Linked DNA regions of Xenopus tropicalis. The main gene of each other region encodes a partner of the protein of the gene in region 2 in a complex. Links are inferred from orthologs where the notes say so. Each region holds a gene or a part of one and is shown on either strand. Other genes may lie near its edges.

Region 1 (3,823 bases), on a different chromosome or scaffold from region 2:
GGCGAACTAATTCGCGCGAACATCGGGTGTTCGCAAGTCCGCAAATTCACGAACTTTTGGAGATGTTCGCCATTTTGGGTTCGCCGCGGTTTTTTTTTGCGCCACGTTTGTTTGCCTCGGTTTTTTCCGCCGCGTTTTTTCGCTTCGGTTTTTCGCCTTTGCGTATACATAGGAATAGCTTGCGTTTTTTTTTTTTTGGCGTTTTTTTTACAAAGTATTTTTCAGATAAATTTTTGCCCTTGATCCCCCTCCTGCATGCCGCTGTCCAGGTCGTGGCACCCTTTAAACAACTTTAAAATCAGTTTTCTGGCCAGAAATGGCTTTTCTAGGTTTTAAAGTTCGCCTTCCCATTGAAGTCTATGGGGTTCGCAAAGTTCGCGAATATTTGCGAGTTTTGGCGAAAGTCCGCGAACGGGTTCGTGAACATTTTTGGCGATGTTCGCTACATCCCTAGTCAGGAGTCCTCCTGTATGCAAAAAAACAAAAATACCTTTGGCAAATCTGTGAAGCAGTGAGAAGTGGCACATTTTTGGGCCCCTGGCAGTTGGGGGCCTTTACACCAGGAGGCACCTTACCCTTATAGGTACTTTATACTGGTGGAAGCACTCCATCTTATGTGAATGGAACAATAGTTGGTGAACCTGTCCCTGCAAAGTAAGATGTTGCATCTGCACAGTGTATTTGTGCTCCCATAGACTCCCTTTACTTGGAAGCTATTCAGAAACCATATCTACATTATCAAAAGAATATAATGCTTCTATATGGGGCTGACTTTGCAAGTTGAGGAATGATAAATAGATGCATTGTGAGGATTTAGCTCTTTAGGTAGAAGCGGCAGCTCCTTTCACACACATAAGAGACAGGTACACAAGCTGAATTTTGGTGTAAGTTTATTTAACACAGCAGGCTTGACAGAAATCATACAGCTGATATGCCAAATACAATCAAAAAGTAGCAGTCTCGATGAACTGAAAACTGTCCTTCCCAGGGGACGCACACAGCCACACTTGGGCAGAATAAGCCAATATAGGTAAATGCAGGTTACAGTCACAGTCTTTTGGAGTATTCCTGTGCTTTCTCAGAAGCAGCTGCACTTCAGTCCCTCAGTCCTCCTCTGTGGATAAATATTCCTCTGGCTCTCAGAGGAAAACAGTTCCCAACAGGTCCCAAACAGGATAAGTCCCACAATGCAGCTCCAGTGTCTCACTTCTCTCCTAGGAGAAAGCAGCCCAGACACTACACTTGGAGCAATTTTTAACTACAGGTGAGGCTAATCAGCCCTCACAGCTGCACAGACCCTTAGGCTGATGCCATCATCCATAGAAATAACTTGGAAAGACGCGAAGCAAACCACACAATGCGGAAATACGCTAGAAAACGCCTTAGCACGGATTTTTCAAGCGTAGGCCGAAATACGCCAGTATTTGCAAAGCAAGCTATTCCTATGTATACGCAAAGGCAGCTGCCAGACCTAGCGGAAATACGCTGCGTTTTTTGCTATTTCGCACTATTAGCACCATGGAAACGGGATTTGCTTGCGTCACCAGTACTAGGCTGAAAAACACCATAGTCAGGGGCTGTGTGGCTTGTGCGGCGTTTTTAGGCAGAGAAAAAACGCAGCGGAAAAACGCCACATGTGGCATCAGCCTTAATTTCACAGCCTTCTGTGCTACTTCATAAAGGATTCTGGGAGGGATATACTTTCCTTCTATGATTTTCCCAACCATGCTACACCATATACATTTTTTTAAAAACATAGGGCTGATTCACTAAAGTGCGTTAAAACGTGCGCTATTTATAGCATGTGTTAAAAATGTTATTGCGTCCAATTTTTCGCGTCTTTCACGATTCACTAAAAGCATACTTGCGTTAATTTAGACGCGATGCTGCTTGCGTTATTTAAGTTGTGAAGACTATTTCTATGCGGTATTTCACGGAACGCGTGCTAATCAACGCATTGCGCACAAATAGTCGCCGCGTGCGAAAAGCCATACACGCCATTACTTTTGTAAAACTACTTTTATGAAAATGACCATTTCCCTGCAAACTGGAGGCTGCATCACTCTGGGGCCAACACAGACTTAAATAAATCCCACTGCAAAGTCCATATTGTGTTGCCAAAAGCTCATGAACTGTACTTTTCTATAATTACCGCCTGCCTCAAGTAGGTGTTATTTTTTGCACAGACAAATGCGATATTTAGCGCATCTAAGTGTTTGTGAATCATGCGTTAGTATTATTTCTGCTCGCTAATTAACGCATGCGATAATACTTAAGCAAATCGCGCATTTTTTTCCGCCTCAATTTTAACGCAAAAATACATGCAATAAAACTTATCGACCTTTAGTAAATCAACCCTCATGTCTTTTATTTTTTTTACAGAGAGATACTGTGTTTTTTGTGGTGATGAAGATGGAAAGATTTGGATATATGACCTTGATTCCTGCAAAGCAGACCTACAGAGAGGCAAATTATGCAGTGTTGTTAAAGAACCCACAAAGGTATTCACCTTATCTATGTAAAGCAATATTTGGTATTTAAGATACAGACACTAGTAATAGGTGGGTAATCCCTAAACCTGTGGGCCAGACATGTTTGTGCAGAGAAATTTGCCTTGGAGCAGGCAGTGGGCTGTTATTAAAGCAAGGCCCTTCCATGTTGATGACACACTCATACCAACCTCCTCCCTTCCAGTGACAATCCATGCCAACTCTTAGGGGCACATTTATGAAAGTACGAATGAGTCCGAATACAAATAATTTGTATTTTTTCTAATTTATAGAACTGTGCATATTTTCTGCGTTATTTTCGTTAATTTGTGCAACTTTTTCATACTTTGGGACAAAATTTATGCAACAAAATCGTATTTGTCATGCAGAGTATGAAAGTTTTGGATTCATTTAAGCTTCGGTATTGTGACTTTCCTTGGGCCAGGTTGGAGCTGCAGAGTGCCATTGAGCCCTATGGGAGACTTTCCTTGGGCCGGGTTGGAGCTGCAGAGTGCCATTGAGCCCTATGGGAGACTTTCCTTGGGCCAGGTTGGAGCTGCAGAGTGCCATTGAGCCCTATGGGAGACTTTCCTTGGGCCAGGTTGGAGCTGCAGAGTGCCATTGAGCCCTATGGGAGACTTTCCTTGGGCCGGGTTGGAGCTGCAGAGTGCCATTGAGCCCTATGGGAGACTTTCCTTGGGCCGGGTTGGAGCTGCAGAGTGCCATTGAGCCCTATGGGAGACTTTCCTTGGGCCAGGTTGGAGCTGCAGAGTGCCATTGAGCCCTATGGGAGACTTTCCTTGGGCCAGGTTGGAGCTGCAGAGTGCCATTGAGTCCTATGGGAGGCTTTCAAAATCATGCACAGAAAGATCAAAGTCAGAAAGGTTTTTCCGCCATTTACAATCGTTCGGATACAAAAATTTAATGACTTTCGGATCGTACCACGATATTATCATGGCTATTACGATTTTTTCGTAAGCATTTTCGTGACCTTTCCGATCATCAGAAATTATCGTATCGTAATTATCATATTTACCAATTTCGGCATTCGAACTCTTACTTTGATGAATCTGCCCCTTGTCATCAGAGGGGTCAGGGTAGGTGCAGGTTAAAAATTTGAAAAGGGCTTCTGGGAAAGAGCAGGCATCTTTAGTAAGCAGCAGGCTAGTGTCAGATGTGTGTTGGAAATTTTGAGATCCCTCCATAAGTGATCTGTTAAATGTTCTTACTATAGTACCTTAATAAGGTTTCCAAACAGTCACTGAAGAGTGATAACCTAGTTCAGTGCTGTCCAACTTCTGCGGTGCCGAGGGCCGGAATTTCTCTCGCATACA
Region 2 (3,823 bases):
TTAAAAGAAGCATCTGCCTGTGGAACAAACAATTCTGTTACCGTGGTCTAACATTTTGTCTACCCGCTTTTCCTTTAATTTAGTCCTGCTTTCCTTCCATGTGATTTGTCTGTGTATTGTTAATATAATATAATATTTTTTTTTATATAGCTTGGGGTTCAATATTATCCTCTTTGGCCTTGGCTCCAAACAAAACTTGATTGAGAAGTTTCGTACATCTCTGCTTCAGGATTCCCTTAATATCGTTGTTAATGGATTTTTCCCTAGTATTACAGTGAAATCTGTAAGTGGGCATTTTAATAAATGCATTCTTGTTGATTACACTAAATCATATTATTCGCACAAGTCATTTGTCTAGTCACAGGTGTTCCAATGTACAGTTTGACTATTGAGGAGTTACTGTACTGAGGGACTTGCTATAAATATGTATTATTAGTAATAATTATCACAATTTAGGCTGACAGGGGAAATTAAAAATTTGAAAGTCAATTCAGACAAATCACTCATCGAGCATCAGACTGAGTCTTTAAGAGCATGGCAGGAAACCTTACATGGCCCAAAGAAAGAAAATAGGAAGAAGGAACAAGAGTATGGCATGAGAGTTAAAATTACTTGATAGGAGAATTAGAGGCTTAGACACATGTGATATATATATAGTGGGTTTTATATAGTGAATTTGGGTGTTTATACTGTATAGACAGATTTATTTGTTTTAAAATAGATTTTTTATTCATTTAAAATGAGTCATTGTTCATTGAAAATGGAACATGCCCTTAGAGATGAGGATTTTACAGATGAATTGGTATAAGAATTTACAGAATGTATATTGTACATATACAAGGTGTTTACAGTCAGTAGTAAAAAATAAATTAAACAGTACTAAAATAAAATAAACATTTATATGCCATATCTGAGTTTGTATCTAGCCAAGGGACACAGACTTTTTCATATTTCTCTGGACTTTTTCTCTGGAATTGAATACATGAGGTGATTATAGTTGTCTTGTTTAGTGAAATAGATTGTCTACAAAGACATGCAGGCAAACCTCTGGTGGCCAATATGCCACTGCCTCTTCAGTAAGCATTCATTTGTGAGCAACTCCAAGTCATCTGGAGATCTGGGGTCTTTGTCTTTGAGATTTAATTTTTTACTACTATGGTGCAGTTGGCCAGCTAAGAAATATTAGTTTACACGAAGAAACACTAAGGGGCTGATTTACTAACCCACGAATCCGACCCGAATTGGAAAAGTTCCGACTTGGAAACGAACATTTTGCGACTTTTTCGTATTTTTTGCAATTTTTTCGGCGTCTTTACGAATTTTTCGTTACCAATACGATTTTTGCGTAAAAACGCGAGTTTTTCGTAGCCATTACGAAAGTTGCGTGAAATCGCCCGATTTTTCCGTAGCGTTAAAACTTACACGAAAAGTTGCGCCTTTTTCGTAGCGTTAAAACTTAAAAGGTGAGAAGTTTCGCTTAAGTTTTAACGCTACGAAAAAAACGCAACTTTTTGCGCAAGTTTTAACGCTACGCTATACCCATAAAGATTGTTGTGTGTTTTTGGTTTTTTAAGTGAATGGGCATGGTTTACCTAAGCCATTCTCTGATGTCCGACCAGAGAAAAGCACAGGTTTATAGTGTACTGGTTTTTTTATTTTTCTTCTATAATAAAGCAAACAGTGCACCGTATCTTTATTGTTTGTTTGAAACCATTGTGCATCACATGCAATAAAAAGGTTTGCAGAGGAGATCACACGGTTTACGCATTACTAAAGGTCCCCATACACGGTAAGATCGCCAAGCGAGCGGAAGTTAAAAAAAAAAATAATAAGATTATGTAGGCGGCAATGGGGCAGTCGGTTCGGGGACCGCATCAACGAGCCGATGCGGTCCCCGATCCGACTGGATTTTCTAACCTGGCAGATCGATATCTGCCCAATTTCAGGCCATTAATCGGTCGGCCAGCCCGCTCGTTTTCTGGGGGCCTTTAGCCACAGGCTACTTCTTCAGATCCCTTCTAAAGAAGTATCCTAAAGGCCCCCATACACGGGCCGATAGAAGCTGCCGATATCGGTCCCTTGGACCCGTAGGTGGGGATATCGGGGGAAGATCCGCTCGCTTGGTGATCTCGCCAAGCGAGCAGATCTTACCGTGTATGGGGACCTTAAGGCTGCGATCCTTAGATCCCCTCCTTTTACGTGTTGCACATGGTACTATGGCTGGTAAGTCTTCCCAATAAATTGTTTAGAGTTTGTTTTATTTTTCTGCATGAATTCTTCCTCTTCCATCTTTTCAGATTCTAAACTCCATCACAGAGGAAGCATTAGGTCATCCTGGAACATTTCGGAGCCCTTTAGATCAAATGGACTTTATTTTACAGAGATTTAAAGAAGGTAATAAGAAGTTGTTTCAGTGTAATGTAGTTATAATGTCAGCATGGTATTCTCTGGCACATATGTCAAAACATAACACACATACTCCTGAACTTACAATATATATATACAGAATCATTACTGGTCAGAAATAGATGACATGTTTTGTTTAAGTCTAGGAAGAATTGTCCCTGGTAAGGTGCGGCAACTCCCTCTTCTTAATATGCCTCAGGTGGCAAAACGTGACCAGTTACCAGAGACAGTAAGGACTGTCCTGTTAACAGGGGTGGCAAAAAGTTGTCTCTAGTAACTTTTAGAGACTAATTTCTGTTTTTTAAATGGGAAACTCTGCTCTGCGACTTCAGAGATCATAATAGCATCTTAACAGAAAAGGGGCAATAATTTGCATTAATAGCATTGGTTTATTATTTGTTTACCTTATATGGGCAATAAGTAGGTGCAAAATAGGTGAACAGAAATATTTGCGCAAGTTTTGTTAGCTTAGCCAGGCTCCAAAGCAAAAATGTTTGATATATTGTATAAAAGTTTTGTATAGGAATAAATGACTTTTCAAAGCAAATGAACCAGTTTTGTTTCAAATGACATTATATTTCAAATAGATTATATTTCTCTAATTTACAGTAGTTCCAGAAGTGATAACTTTTTACTTTTTTTCACAGATCCCTCACTAGAACTTTATCTTCTTATTCATAACCTGGACAGCCAGATGTTACGAGGGGAAAAATGTCAGCAGGTCCTTGGTCAATTGGCTTCTATTCCTAACTTTCACCTTCTTGCTTCTGTAGACCACATAAATGCTCCTCTTAGTAAGTGTTAGACTTTAAATATATTAAACTTTTTACATAAAGTCATACCTTACTGTTCAGCCAGAATTACCTAAAGTGAACATAAACTTTAAATATAGACAGGCTAGAGTATCAGTACAGGTCTATTAAAAATGCTTGGGACCAATGGTATTCCGGAGAAGGGGTCTTTCCATAATTTGGATCTTCATACCTTTAAGTCTAAGAAATCAAACAGTAATTAAACCCAATAGGATTATATTACATCCAGTAAGGATTAATTATATCTTAGTTGAGATAAAAAACAAAGCACTGTTTTATTTTTACAGATAAAAAGGAAATCAATTTTAAAAATCTGAATTATTTGATTAAAATGGAGTCTATGGGACACGGGCTTCCTGTAATTCGCAGCTTTCTGGATATCGTGTTTCCGGATAACTAAACCCAAAACTGTATCCGTATTCTAAACTCCTAAAGAAATTAAATTTTTCACTATGCAAAAATATGATTTTGATTGGAGGACCCGATTTTAAAGTGGTTTTTCACGTATAAGATAACTTTTAGTATGTTTATAGAATTATGTTATAGTTCTCAGCAAGATTTCCACTTAGAACAATTAAAATTTGTTTCAAAATAGTACTCTGTAC
Region 3 (3,823 bases), on a different chromosome or scaffold from region 2:
CTTGTCTGATCCATAAGCAACTGCTTGGAATCGGATACACCGAAAAGTAGTAGAGCCGCTATGTAATTTCACAAAGCTGAACCCCCTATACATTTCTGCTCTGATCAAGAATTGGCCTATTATTAAAGCCCCACTAGGAACCCATCTTCAAAGTAAGTGAATCCAGTACCTCACTGAAATTACCCAGAGACAGAACTGTGATAGAGTCTCTAAACTTACTACTTCTGGGCTTTCCTCTTCCATTTTTAGGCAAGTGCTTGCTTGGATCCACATAAAGAGAACCGATTTCTACATACCCACAAAATCACGTTTACAGCAGAAGCCAATGGTGAGCCAAAGCTCAATTAATATACTGTCCAAAAACTCAGTGCAGAGTAAAAACTTGTCAAGTGCCTATACTGTGGATCCATGCTCTTCCCTTTGCTTGAGAAGTGGGACGAGCCAAAGAGCAGGAAATACAGATGACCAGAGCTCTGTCGCTGGGTAAGTATTGGGGGAGGCTTCTCTTGGGGCTGTCTCTTGTTCTGTCCTCGCTACATTATAAAGAAATATTCCACAAAGCTACTCAGTAAGTTGCCTATTATACCTAAGCGTATTGTATTGTTTGCTCCATAACACACTTCTGTTTCATGCCACCTCGAAGCAGGGCTCATGCTGGAAAGCAAAGTTAACACAATACCTTTAGGAAAAACCTTTTGTCTGTTCTTGCAGGGTTGAAGGATGCTAAATAGGCAGCGATGAGAAGGAATTTGGAATAGTAAGGTAACTCTACATGAGCATGTGCAGATAACCCTAAAGAGGAAATAACAGTTTCAGGCTTTTTAGTATAAAACATGGATAGTGATAAGGCAAAATTACTGTTACGGTGGAAGCAAACTGGTACGACAGTCTAAGGCCATGGCCTATGGTGAGATTAGTTGCCTGTGGTTTATTTCAGCTACCGTGGGTACCTTTTCTCCCTGAAAGGCCTTTTCAACAGCAATAAAGTTAATTGCTGGTGGAAAGGTATACAGGGTGCTTCTTTATTTGATGTTGCCCGAAGCTTTCTCCTGTAGGAAACTTCCCACCGGAAATTCACTTAATTACCAGTGGGAAGGCCTTCTGGAATATTAGTTATTATTATTAACATTTATTTATAAAGCGCCAACATATTCCGCAGAGCTGTAAAATAGGTGGATTACATACATTGGACATACAGAGTAACATATAAAGCAACCAATAACTAATATAGGAGGTGAAGAGATCCCTGCCCAAAAGAGCTTACAATCTACAAGTTACCCACGGCAGCCAAGATCTAACAACGTGGCAATTAATCTTCCCAATGGCCCATGGCCCTAACAGGCTAATAAGTGCAGAAGAACAAAGTTTCATATTTTTGGCTCCAGAAGGAAATAGCTTATGTCTTTAATAGATTTGTGCAAAAATCTGGCCACTGAATCTAGTCACAAAAGATATACCGGACAGCTAAAGAAATAGCAGCTAGCCAAATACAGTAAGATATTGAGGACATGCTAAAGCAGTAAAGCTGGCAATGTACCGTTCAGTATGTCCTGCGTACTCTCAAGACTGATTTATCAACTAATTTTGCCATGCATAAGGCCAGAAGGAAAGCTTCACTGATATTTGGAGGACCACCATGGGCCATAGATGAGGTTCTCTCCTAAAAGGTCTGCACAAACCATATGACATGATCATTAACGTAAGCACCAAACAATCAGGTCAGCCTCATTTTCCCCACCTCCTGGCAACCTCACCAAAGATTATCCTAGCCTAACTGGCCAGCTGAAGACAGTAACACAATGTGTACTTGGATAGTTATTTTAAAGAGATCAACAAACCTTAAGCTTAAACAGTGTCGTTGTTCACATAGTTAACCACCAGGTTCTGCTGCAGAACCAGAACATATGAATAAAGTCCATCACTACAAGAAGCCAAATATTAGTGCCATTTTATTCAGTCACTTCCATAAATTCACTGCAGGTTTGTTTTGGTATCAGAAAGGTTATTATTCCTCTGGTGCAGACTATACCTTTGAGGTGGGATGCTTCTCTGTCTTCTTGCTGGATTCTCTCCCACTGCGAACTGAAATAAAAAGTACATTACCTAATCAACAGCTTTTTATAAACACTTTATTGCTGTAGCCCCTAAATTGCAGAATTCAATTTATCATAAAGTAGAGAGTTGTGTGGAAATTAAAACCATACAGTAAATAAAAACTCTTTCAGAAAAATATGGATATTCAAACAAAATTCACCAAAAGCACCACACTGGCTCAAGCTGTGCATCAACATCACGTCAGTCGGCTGCCTGATACACAGAAGGGCAAGGGGGGATATGACCATGCCTAAAAATTGATACCACTATACCCCCCAGAATGAATACTTAACCAACAGAAAGTTTATATCATATTAAGTGACCTATTAAAGGATCTCGCCAAACAAATATATCAGTAAATATTGCCCTTCTACATCTCTTTCTTTGAGGCATTTTGTGTTGGTCTGTGTGCCCCCTCAAAGATCACCTGAGAGGAAATAATGCAGCTCTAACTGTAACAGGAAGAAATGTGGGAGTAAAAGCCCATTCATTGGCTGATGTGACCTAGCAGTATGTTTGCCTTGACTTGTTTGTGTGCACTGTGAATCCTATGATCCCAGGAGGCAGCCCTTAATTCTTAAAATGGCAGTTTTCTATTTAGGATTACCCAATAGCACATACTACTAAAAAAGTATATTTTTAGGAAAATTGTTTATTTACATATGATCTGGTTTATGCAATATATTTTTATAGAGACCTACATTGTTTGGGGTATAGTTTCTCTTTAAACCAGTGACTATTAAGAATATAAGTGTTCGTGTTCTGAAGGCAGGAATCAAGGAGGCATCAATCCATATGCTGGCCTCCTTGTAGCATTGCATTCACTGCCTTCTGAAATCTTTTATTGATGGAAAATAGTGCCTGCTTTTCCAGTATGTTTGGACTGTACAGTATATGCCCCAGATGGAACAAGTCCCAACCCGAACTATGAATGCAGCTCAGAATGGCTTTTCCAGCTGCAACAAACTCATTCAGCTGCATCAAACTTTCCTTTTCAGATAAAAAATAGGGATGCACCGAACCCACCCCGATGGATTCTGCTGCATCCGAACTTGAATCCGAATCCAAATTAGCATATGCTTAGCTAAGCTAAGCACAGGGAGTCTTACTCAGAAGACATATGTTCATCCAGGTTGATAGCCTTTTGGTCTACCTGTATCCCGGTTAATTGTGTAGCACTCTCACTGGCAAGTCCAAGGCATGCGGAAAATTATATTAATGTGAAATGGTTATCAATGTCTTACCTTGATATCTCCCGGAGATAGACAGTCTGCATGGCTCTTTTCAAATGTGGCTCAATATTTTTCCACAGTTTATGAGAATCACTTTCCTTTGCTTTAAACAAAAAATTAAAAATGTTTACACACCTCTAAAATGGTATAAAAAAAAAAAACAACTTATGAAGCGGCTTCTGAAATACAAGCAAGAAACTCTACCTTCTCCTTTTATCACTGGCTCACAGAATTTTGGGAAGTTCAGTGCAGCCTGAGGAAAAGACAAACAGCCAAAATGTTTTTCTGTGTTAACATACTACATGCTGCACTCTAAGGCAAAGGAAGGCCAAGCACAAGGGGAATACATAAATTGCATCCAGCATTTTGGTTACATTGCATAAAGTAATATAAACAAGGTTTATATATGAAGAGAAACTATTGGCTTCCATAAATAAATAGTGCAAAGCTACATACATAGTTAATTTTTAGTTGAAAAACCATTTTCATATCATGAG
Region 4 (3,823 bases), on a different chromosome or scaffold from region 2:
GGAAAGTGCCTTGTCCTTTAAATATGCAGTGAGGAAATGCTTTCTCCTTCCGCTGTTATATTTGGACTAGACATGAAACACAAAAATGGAGCAGAGTATAGGAAATAGTATTTTGTAAGCAGTATCAGCAGTGACCATATGGATTGCTGCAACCCATATAAGGTTCCTCATTATGACAGCTGTGTGTTTTCATTGGGTAGGCAAGAAAGTGTCTTATACTCAGCAAAAAAAATACGGGGGGGAAGGCAGATTTAGATCTTTAGTGTGTAAAATGAGTTTGTTACACGGTCAGTGGAGAACTTTTATTAGAACCTGATGTTGGGCTGTAAGAACTGCAATGAATAACTCTCTGAAGTTTCTAAACCACCTCCCTATGTTTCTAGAAACTGTTAGAAATGAAAGAAACAAGAAGAGCTAAGAAACTCACAAAGTTTGAGATGCTCCGACAAGATGTCGTGGACTTTATAGACTGTATCGTAAGGTTTGTATCATTTTAGCTAAGTGCCTGTACTACATTAGGGTTAAGAAATAATTCACCAGCACTTTCTGACCTCTCCTCTTCAGTAGCAGCCTGATACACAGCCTGGGGGAACGGCACCCCCTTGCAAACAAAATAACCACTACATCAGGGTTGCCAACAGTCATGTCCACATTAAAACCAATGTAGTGCTTCATAATGCGTAACTCAGAGATGGTTATTGGCAACTCTCGCTTATATTTTGTTTCTCAGCATGCTGGGGTCAGGAATCTTGTTTGGTTAGGATGCTGTTCTCTAAGAGGAAATAGCAAAACAAAAAAAACTCCCCCAGCCTACTAATGTCAACATGTGATATATACTGTCATGTGCACATTTAGGTTCAGATTTGGTTTAGCATTTACAGACTGTCACTAAGGGCTCTGGCACACGGTGAGATTAGTCGCGCGCGACAAATCTCCCCGAAATGCCATCCCACCGGCATATTTGGCGCCACAATTTCCCCACAATCGCTGGTGGGATGGCATTTTGGGGAGATTAGTCGCCCGTGACACAGGAGATTTGTCGTGGGCGACTAATCTCCCCATGTGCCAGAGCCCTAAGGGGAAACTTGCCTTGAGAGGAAACTTCTGCGATTTCGGGGAAATCGTGGCGCCGTGTATGCTATGCCACCGGCCATTTACATTTTCGCCAGTGGGATGGCATTTCGGGGAGATTAGTCGCCTGTGACAATGGAGATTTATCGCGGGCGACTAATCTCACCATGTTTTAGAGCCCTAAAGGCTCTTTAACTAATCAGCAGTGTGTAAATATCTTTATTATAACAAACCTTATTGTATTTCTATGACCAAGCTGGAATGTGGCTATAAACAAGCAATATGTATTTGCCTGTGTGTTTTTTTGTGTAATTTACATTAATGGAGGACCCATTCACTCAAGCAATCAAAACTTTCTATTTTAGAGAATACCTTGTGCCCCCTGAAATGCTGCCTTTGCATGAAGTTGTATATTTTAGTGCGGCCAGCACCCTTCGCAGACACCTTAATGCTGCCCCGCGTGTTGCCCTGCACACTGCTCTCAACAACCCAGCCTCTTACTTGAAGGTGAGTTAAGTATATCTGTAATCTTTATGTCTTGTATACCTGTTCTGCACTATGATAAATGGCAATCTCATTCATGTCTATAGTGTTAAGACTAACATAATAAAATTCAAGGCCTTGTACTAGTGAGTAAAATTGCCACAATGAATAAAACCATAGCCTGTGGCAGCACTGCACTAAAGCACAATAACTACAAACAATCTTTGTTATCCCTTTCAAACAGTAAAATTTTGGTGTTCAGCATAATCCTTAGCATCTCCCAAAGCAACTCTGGTAGCTCCCACAGCACATCACTCCTCATTGCACATATATGGCAAATGCAGTTTCCAGTGCAACAATACATTTTCCACAATGCTTGTCTGCATCACATTTTTATGTTTAAGGACAACTAAAGTTTGACCTATGTCATACTTTTGAAATGTGTGTGTGCTGCACACACGTATTATGCACAATATAAATCTATTCTTATGTTCTTTTTCTTTTCCCTGCACTATTTCATATTTTCAGACATTGGAAAACGAGGCTGGATCTGTTTCCAATGTAGCACCAGATATCTGCATTGCCTACAAGTTACACCTTGAGTGCGGACGACTGATAAATCTTTATGATTGGCTAGAGGTAAGTAAGAGCAGGATTATTTTTGTTCTTTGGGAGTGGGTTTTGCTACGTCACCATATTTATTTAAGATAGAACTACTACTCATATGATATAGACACAGTAGTATTCTTTTTAACACTGGTAGAAAATGAGCCACAGACTCATTAAGGAGGGCATCTAACTATCCTCTATAATGTTATTTGCTATGTAACCTGTGTCTTTTCTCATTTTTTCAGCTTAAATGGCTGCCCCCTTGGCTACACAGCATCTGATTAATATAAATTATAGTAGTGTTGCTGAACCAAACACACCACCTTTATCAATGCAGGGCAACAGAACATTATATTCTAATTACGTTTTTAAAATAATATTTGTATTAATGTTAAAGGTAAAGTTTTTATTGCACAGGACCTTAATATAAAATATCTTTCACAATGTACTTGTGTGCCCTGCAGCACTAGACAGTGAGACATTTTGGGGGGCCTTATAAGTTATACTATGTGTACTGCGCTGGTAATTGTAGTTGTAGCATGTTGCTTTTTGTATTCAAGAGAAGGAAAAGTGCAATTTATTGAGACTATAAAAACAAGTAGAACCAGATGGCTTTCTTTCAGCTGTTCAACTCCATTTCCCAGCATGCCTTGACAGCAGAACAGCAGAAATCAAATGGGCTGCAGGTTATATACGCCTGCTATAAAAGGAAAATGAAAGCAGTGCTCTTTTCCCTTTAGTGAATGCTTTTCTAGTACATACACTGAATCTGCACTTCGCTGCTACCCAGAAGTAAATCATTTTATGCTTCATGTTCCTTATACTTGTACATCTGCTATAATACACAGCCCCATTTTATTCCTATTATCCAGTTCCTAAGTATATCTGAGACTTAGAATTCAGAGCTGCTGTTAATGTGATCTAAAACCTTCAGAAATGCTATGGCAACCGGTTCCTAGACATGCTACTCACTGTATATCAGATTACTCACTAAGGCCTTTGCTAAAGATTTTTTTGAGGGGGAATAATGCAGCTTCCATTCAAAGAGTATTTATATTATTACCATGACATAGTTAAGTAGGTAAGTAATGCTGTCAATGTGAATCAGATAAAAAAAAATGCCAGATGTCTTGTTTTACAAAAAAAAAACCCAGTAGCTACATGGTCACTAAAATCAGAGCATTACAGTAAATGCCTGCCTGTGTATTTACTGCTAAAATACATTTTCCCTTTTCTGCAGGCTTTTTCAACTGTGGTCCATGCTGGCGAGGGAAGTGACTCGGATTCAGCTCAGCAGGTTGATGAAGTTACCCAGTATCCTTTGCGTGTTTAGAAGGTTTTTAGCCATGAGCGAATGATGAGTAAATCCGTGCACTGTCCCAGCTCAGCATTGCAAGGTTTTTATCTTCTCATAGGCTGATGCTACCTTTTATTTGTATGAGCTCTCCTGGAGCATAGGATACCTTTTAAAGGAACATTAGGTATCAATGAAGCATGTGCACTATATATACATAAATCTGAAAGCCTGACTCTAAGCACCTTATCTGGTTTCCAGGCCTAGCGTAGTGCTGATATAGAAGGAAGTGCTTTATTCTTCATAGATCATTTAAAGGAAAATTATACCCCCCAGAATGAATAATTAACCAACAGGTTTATATTA
Region 5 (4,311 bases), about 23 Mb from region 2:
CCTCACTCACTCACCCAGGAGTAACTGCATTGGTCCCTCACTCACTCACTCACCCAGGAGTAACTGCATTGGTCCCTCACTCACTCACCCAGGAGTAACTGCATTGGTCCCTCACTCACTCACCCAGGAGTAACTGCATTGGTCCCTCACTCACTCACCCAGGAGTAACTGCATTGGTCCCTCACTCACCCACCCAGGAGTAACTGCATTTGTCCCTCACTCACCCACCCAGGAGTAACTGCATTGGTCCCTCACTCACTCACCCAGGAGTAACTGCATTGGTCCCTCACTCACTCACCCAGGAGTAACTGCATTGGTCCCTCACTCACCCACCCAGGAGTAACTGCATTGGTCCCTCACTCACTCACCCAGGAGTAACTGCATTGGTCCCTCACTCACTCACCCAGGAGCTACTGCATTGGTCCCTCACTCACTCACCCAGGAGTAACTGCATTGGTCCCTCACTCACTCACCCAGGAGTAACTGCATTGGTCCCTCACTCACTCACCCAGGAGTAACTGCATTGGTCCCTCACTCACTCACCCAGGAGTAACTGCATTGGTCCCTCACTCACCCACCCAGGAAGTACCGGTGTGACCCCTCACTCACCCAGGAAGTACCGGTGTGACCCCTCACTCACCCAGGAAGTACCGGTGTGACCCCTCACTCCCCCATACAGGTACAGGCCCATCACCCAGACAGGGATTGCTGCTATTACTCCCTAATGACTCGGGGGGGGGGGGTTTAACCCCTCACTTACCAGTTAGCTGCAGATGTCCCTCCAGGTTAGGGGCCCCAGGACGCACCCCGGGCGGAGCTGCACACAAGGCCATACACCAGCCCCAGGAGCCAAGTGCCCACTCACACCCACACAGGCTGCTCCCTGCGCTCCGTTCCTATTGCTCGGTGCGGCCCAGGCCCGGTAATGGCAGCCTTCTCCCCCCGGCCTCCGCACCCCGACAGCTCGGCCCGTAGCAAGCTGGGAGCCGGAGGGAATGAGGAGCGGGCCCGTCAGTGCATCCAGTCGGGGAATGGGGAGAATCCGTCCCGGAGCCTGTGTCAGCTTCCCTCTCAGCTGCTTCTGCTTCTCTGGCTTCTCAGGAGAAAGATGGGAGTGTGCCAACTGCGCATGTCCCGGGCAGGCCGGGGAGGGGGGACCCACAGTACTCCGCAGCCTGACAGGAACCGGAAACCAGCAGCACCCGGAAGTGAGGACAAGAGGAAGTTCAAGCTTGGGAATTCTGTCACCAAGGGAACTGCAGAAAGGGAGGGAGTGAGGCTGTGGGGAGTCACATGTACGGACTGGAGCTGCAAGAACAGGGGGACTTACGGGAGGGGCCGGTAGGTGTGCGGGTAGGTATGGGGCTGTGCGGGTAGGTGAGGGGCTGTGCGGGTAGGTGAGGGGCTGTGCGGGTAGGTGAGGGGCTGTGCGGGTAGGTGAGGGGCTGTGCGGGTAGGTGAGGGGCTGTGCGGGTAGGTATGGGGCTGTGCGGGTAGGTGAGGGGCTGTGCGGGTAGGTGAGGGGCTGTGCGGGTAGGTATGGGGCTGTGCGGGTAGGTATGGGGCTGTGCGGGTAGGTGAGGGGCTGTGCGGGTAGGTGAGGGCTGTGCGGGTAGGTATGGGGCTGTGCGGGTAGGTATGGGGCTGTGCGGGTAGGTGAGGGGCTGTGCGGGTAGGTATGGGGCTGTGCGGGTAGGTGAGGGGCTGTGCGGGTAGGTGAGGGGCTGTGCGGGTAGGTGAGGGGCTGTGCGGGTAGGTATGGGGCTGTGCGGGTAGGTGAGGGGCTGTGCGGGTAGGTATGGGGCTGTGCGGGTAGGTATGGGGGCTGTGCGGGTAGGTGAGGGGCTGTGCGGGTAGGTATGGGGCTGTGCGGGTAGGTGAGGGGCTGTGGCGGGTAGGTGAGGGGCTGTGCGGGTAGGTGAGGGGCTGTGCGGGTAGGTGAGGGGCTGTGCGGGTAGGTGAGGGGCTGTGGCGGGTAGGTATGGGGCTGTGCGGGTAGGTGAGGGGCTGTGCGGGTAGGTGAGGGGCTGTGCGGGTAGGTATGGGGCTGTGCGGGTAGGTATGGGGCTGTGCGGGTAGGTGAGGGGCTGTGCGGGTAGGTGAGGGGCTGTGCGGGTAGGTATGGGGCTGTGCGGGTAGGTATGGGGCTGTGCGGGTAGGTGAGGGGCTGTGCGGGTAGGTATGGGGCTGTGCGGGTAGGTGAGGGGCTGTGCGGGTAGGTGAGGGGCTGTGCGGGTAGGTGAGGGGCTGTGCGGGTAGGTGAGGGGCTGTGCGGGTAGGTGAGGGGCTGTGCGGGTAGGTATGGGGCTGTGCGGGTAGGTATGGGGCTGTGCGGGTAGGTGAGGGGCTGTGCGGGTAGGTGTGCGGGTAGGTGAGGGGCTGTGCGGGTAGGTATGGGGCTGTGCGGGTAGGTATGGGGCTGTGCGGGTAGGTATGGGGCTGTGCGGGTAGGTGAGGGGCTGTGCGGGTAGGTGAGGGGCTGTGCGGGTAGGTATGGGGCTGTGCGGGTAGGTGAGGGGCTGTGCGGGTAGGTATGGGGGCTGTGCGGGTAGGTGAGGGGCTGTGCGGGTAGGTATGGGGCTGTGCGGGTAGGTGAGGGGCTGTGCGGGTAGGTATGGGGCTGTGCGGGTAGGTGAGGGGCTGTGCGGGTAGGTATGGGGGCTGTGCGGGTAGGTGAGGGGCTGTGCGGGTAGGTATGGGGCTGTGCGGGTAGGTATGGGGCTGTGCGGGTAGGTGAGGGGCTGTGCGGGTAGGTGAGGGGCTGTGCGGGTAGGTGAGGGGCTGTGCGGGTAGGTGAGGGGCTGTGCGGGTAGGTGAGGGGCTGTGCGGGTAGGTGAGGGGCTGTGCGGGTAGGTGAGGGGCTGTGCGGGTAGGTGAGGGGCTGTGCGGGTAGGTGAGGGGCTGTGCGGGTAGGTATGGGGCTGTGCGGGTAGGTATGGGGCTGTGCGGGTAGGTGAGGGGCTGTGCGGGTAGGTATGGGGCTGTGCGGGTAGGTGAGGGGCTGTGCGGGTAGGTGAGGGCCTGTGCGGGTAGGTGAGGGGCTGTGCGGGTAGGTATGGGGCTGTGCGGGTAGGTGAGGGGCTGTGCGGGTAGGTGAGGGGCTGTGCGGGTAGGTATGGGGCTGTGCGGGTAGGTGAGGGGCTGTGCGGGTAGGTATGGGGCTGTGCGGGTAGGTATGGGCCTGTGCGGGTAGGTATGGGGCTGTGCGGGTAGGTGAGGGGCTGTGCGGGTAGGTGAGGGGCTGTGCGGGTAGGTGAGGGGCTGTGCGGGGTAGGTGAGGGGCTGTGCGGGTAGGTATGGGGCTGTGCGGGTAGGTATGGGGCTGTGCGGGTAGGTATGGGGCTGTGCGGGTAGGTGAGGGGCTGTGCGGGTAGGTGAGGGGCTGTGCGGGTAGGTGAGGGGCTGTGCGGGTAGGTGAGGGGCTGTGCGGGTAGGTGAGGGGCTGTGCGGGTAGGTGAGGGGCTGTGCGGGTAGGTGAGGGGCTGTGCGGGTAGGTGAGGGGCTGTGCGGGTAGGTGCGGGTAGGTGAGGGGCTGTGCGGGTAGGTGAGCGGGTAGGTGAGGGGCTGTGCGGGTAGGTATGGGGCTGTGCGGGTAGGTATGGGGCTGTGCGGGTAGGTATGGGGCTGTGCGGGTAGGTATGGGGCTGTGCGGGTAGGTATGGGGCTGTGCGGGTAGGTGAGGGGCTGTGCGGGTAGGTATGGGGCTGTGCGGGTAGGTGAGGGGCTGTGCGGGTAGGTGAGGGGCTGTGCGGGTAGGTATGGGGCTGTGCGGGTAGGTATGGGGCTGTGCGGGTAGGTGAGGGGCTGTGCGGGTAGGTGAGGGGCTGTGCGGGTAGGTGAGGGGCTGTGCGGGTAGGTGAGGGGCTGTGCGGGTAGGTGAGGGGCTGTGCGGGTAGGTGAGGGGCTGTGCGGGTAGGTGAGGGGCTGTGCGGGTAGGTGAGGGGCTGTGCGGGTAGGTGAGGGGCTGTGCGGGTAGGTATGGGGGCTGTGCGGGTAGGTATGGGGGCTGTGCGGGTAGGTATGGGGGCTGTGCGGGTAGGTATGGGGGGTGTGCGGGTAGGTATGGGGGGTGTGCGGGTAGGTATGGGGGGTGTGCGGGTAGGTATGGGGGGTGTGCGGGTAGGTATGGGGGGTGTGCGGGTAGGTGATGGGGTATGCGGGTAGGTGAGGGGGTATGCGAGTAGGTAAGGGGGTATACGGGTAGGTGAGGGGGTATGCGAGTAGGTAAGGGGGTATACGGGTACACATTGGGCAGAGGAGAGCAGGTAGGCACAGAGACAAGGGTATGGCTATGTAGCCTAGCATTCCAAT

What was found.
Region 1: the proteins of orc2 (region 2) and lrwd1 are in contact, whole or in part, in a crystal structure (PDB 8SIU), measured with the Rattus norvegicus proteins. The link is inferred for Xenopus tropicalis from reciprocal best matches to the Homo sapiens genes ORC2 and LRWD1. Residues at the interface, in NP_001012003.1 of Rattus norvegicus: Val11, Pro12, Ser13, Val14, Gln15, Phe16, Val17, Gly18, Asp19, Val22, Leu23, Ser24, His25, Ile26, Leu27, Asp28; in XP_038945348.1 of Rattus norvegicus: Pro262, Leu263, His264, Phe265, Leu266, Gln267, Cys268, Ser270, Asn273, Ser274, Pro275, Leu320, Val321, Leu322, His323, Lys324, Tyr325, Lys326, Leu367, Val369, Gly372, Phe373, Cys374, Pro596, Pro598, Val599, Ala600, Val605, Ile630.
Region 3: the proteins of orc2 (region 2) and orc5 are in contact, whole or in part, in a cryo-EM structure (PDB 7JPO), measured with the Homo sapiens proteins. The link is inferred for Xenopus tropicalis from reciprocal best matches to the Homo sapiens genes ORC2 and ORC5. Residues at the interface, in NP_006181.1 of Homo sapiens: Val240, Glu241, Tyr243, Phe244, Glu245, Ser248, Asp396, Gln398, Arg401, Gly402, Glu403, His426, Asn428, Ala429, Pro430, Leu431, Met432, Trp433, Asp434, His435, Gln438, Trp445; in NP_002544.1 of Homo sapiens: Asp324, Lys325, Phe328, Leu329, Leu359, Asp360, Arg361, Ala364, Tyr367, Ser368, Ala378, Asn379, Phe381, Ser382, Gln383, Thr385, Ser386, Thr389, Asp400, Gln401, Leu402, Asp403, Tyr407.
Region 4: the proteins of orc2 (region 2) and orc3 are in contact, whole or in part, in a cryo-EM structure (PDB 7JPO), measured with the Homo sapiens proteins. The link is inferred for Xenopus tropicalis from reciprocal best matches to the Homo sapiens genes ORC2 and ORC3. Residues at the interface, in NP_006181.1 of Homo sapiens: Leu239, Glu242, Tyr243, Ala246, His247, Asp268, Arg273, Leu276, Val279, Ser280, Phe283, Glu286, Leu287, Leu290, Lys296, Leu297, His299, Lys300, Met302, Leu303, Gln304, His306, Leu307, Phe309, Tyr314, Gly315, Leu316, Arg320, Glu324, Arg327; in NP_036513.2 of Homo sapiens: Thr3, Ser4, Ser5, Met6, Ser7, Lys8, Gly9, Cys10, Phe11, Val12, Phe13, Lys14, Pro15, Arg20, Ile22, Ile26, Tyr29, Phe30, Lys32, Tyr47, Val111, Thr112, Lys139, Asp318, Lys326, Gln329, Leu330, Leu333, Tyr337, Glu589.
Region 5: the proteins of orc2 (region 2) and orc4 are in contact, whole or in part, in a cryo-EM structure (PDB 7JPP), measured with the Homo sapiens proteins. The link is inferred for Xenopus tropicalis from reciprocal best matches to the Homo sapiens genes ORC2 and ORC4. Residues at the interface, in NP_006181.1 of Homo sapiens: Asp501, Asp504, Tyr508, Ser512, Gln518, Glu522, Val554; in NP_001177808.1 of Homo sapiens: Lys168, Asn169, Arg195, Glu200, Leu201, Lys204, Arg205.

The regions. Positions count from the first base shown.
Region 1 is NC_030678.2:46,208,159-46,211,981, reverse strand, and holds part of lrwd1 (leucine-rich repeat and WD repeat-containing protein 1), read left to right. Parts: intron 1-2,382; coding exon 2,383-2,501; intron 2,502-3,823. UniProt on the Homo sapiens protein: Required for G1/S transition. Recruits and stabilizes the origin recognition complex (ORC) onto chromatin during G1 to establish pre-replication complex (preRC) and to heterochromatic sites in post-replicated cells.
Region 2 is NC_030685.2:54,031,361-54,035,183, reverse strand, and holds part of orc2 (origin recognition complex subunit 2), read left to right. Parts: intron 1-150; coding exon 151-283; intron 284-2,297; coding exon 2,298-2,394; intron 2,395-3,053; coding exon 3,054-3,200; intron 3,201-3,823. UniProt on the Homo sapiens protein: Component of the origin recognition complex (ORC) that binds origins of replication. DNA-binding is ATP-dependent. The specific DNA sequences that define origins of replication have not been identified yet.
Region 3 is NC_030682.2:120,319,706-120,323,528, forward strand, and holds part of orc5 (origin recognition complex subunit 5), read right to left. Parts: intron 3,580-3,823; coding exon 3,531-3,579; intron 3,430-3,530; coding exon 3,339-3,429; intron 2,083-3,338; coding exon 2,030-2,082; intron 793-2,029; coding exon 680-792; intron 1-679. UniProt on the Homo sapiens protein: Component of the origin recognition complex (ORC) that binds origins of replication. DNA-binding is ATP-dependent. The specific DNA sequences that define origins of replication have not been identified yet.
Region 4 is NC_030681.2:86,911,544-86,915,366, reverse strand, and holds part of orc3 (origin recognition complex subunit 3), read left to right. Parts: intron 1-383; coding exon 384-481; intron 482-1,436; coding exon 1,437-1,578; intron 1,579-2,082; coding exon 2,083-2,193; intron 2,194-3,403; coding exon 3,404-3,477; intron 3,478-3,823. UniProt on the Homo sapiens protein: Component of the origin recognition complex (ORC) that binds origins of replication. DNA-binding is ATP-dependent. The specific DNA sequences that define origins of replication have not been identified yet.
Region 5 is NC_030685.2:77,214,778-77,219,088, forward strand, and holds the start of orc4 (origin recognition complex subunit 4), read left to right. Parts: upstream 1-1,251; 5' UTR 1,252-1,341; exon of another isoform or gene 1,342-1,353; intron 1,354-4,042; exon of another isoform or gene 4,043-4,056; intron 4,057-4,311. UniProt on the Homo sapiens protein: Component of the origin recognition complex (ORC) that binds origins of replication. DNA-binding is ATP-dependent. The specific DNA sequences that define origins of replication have not been identified yet.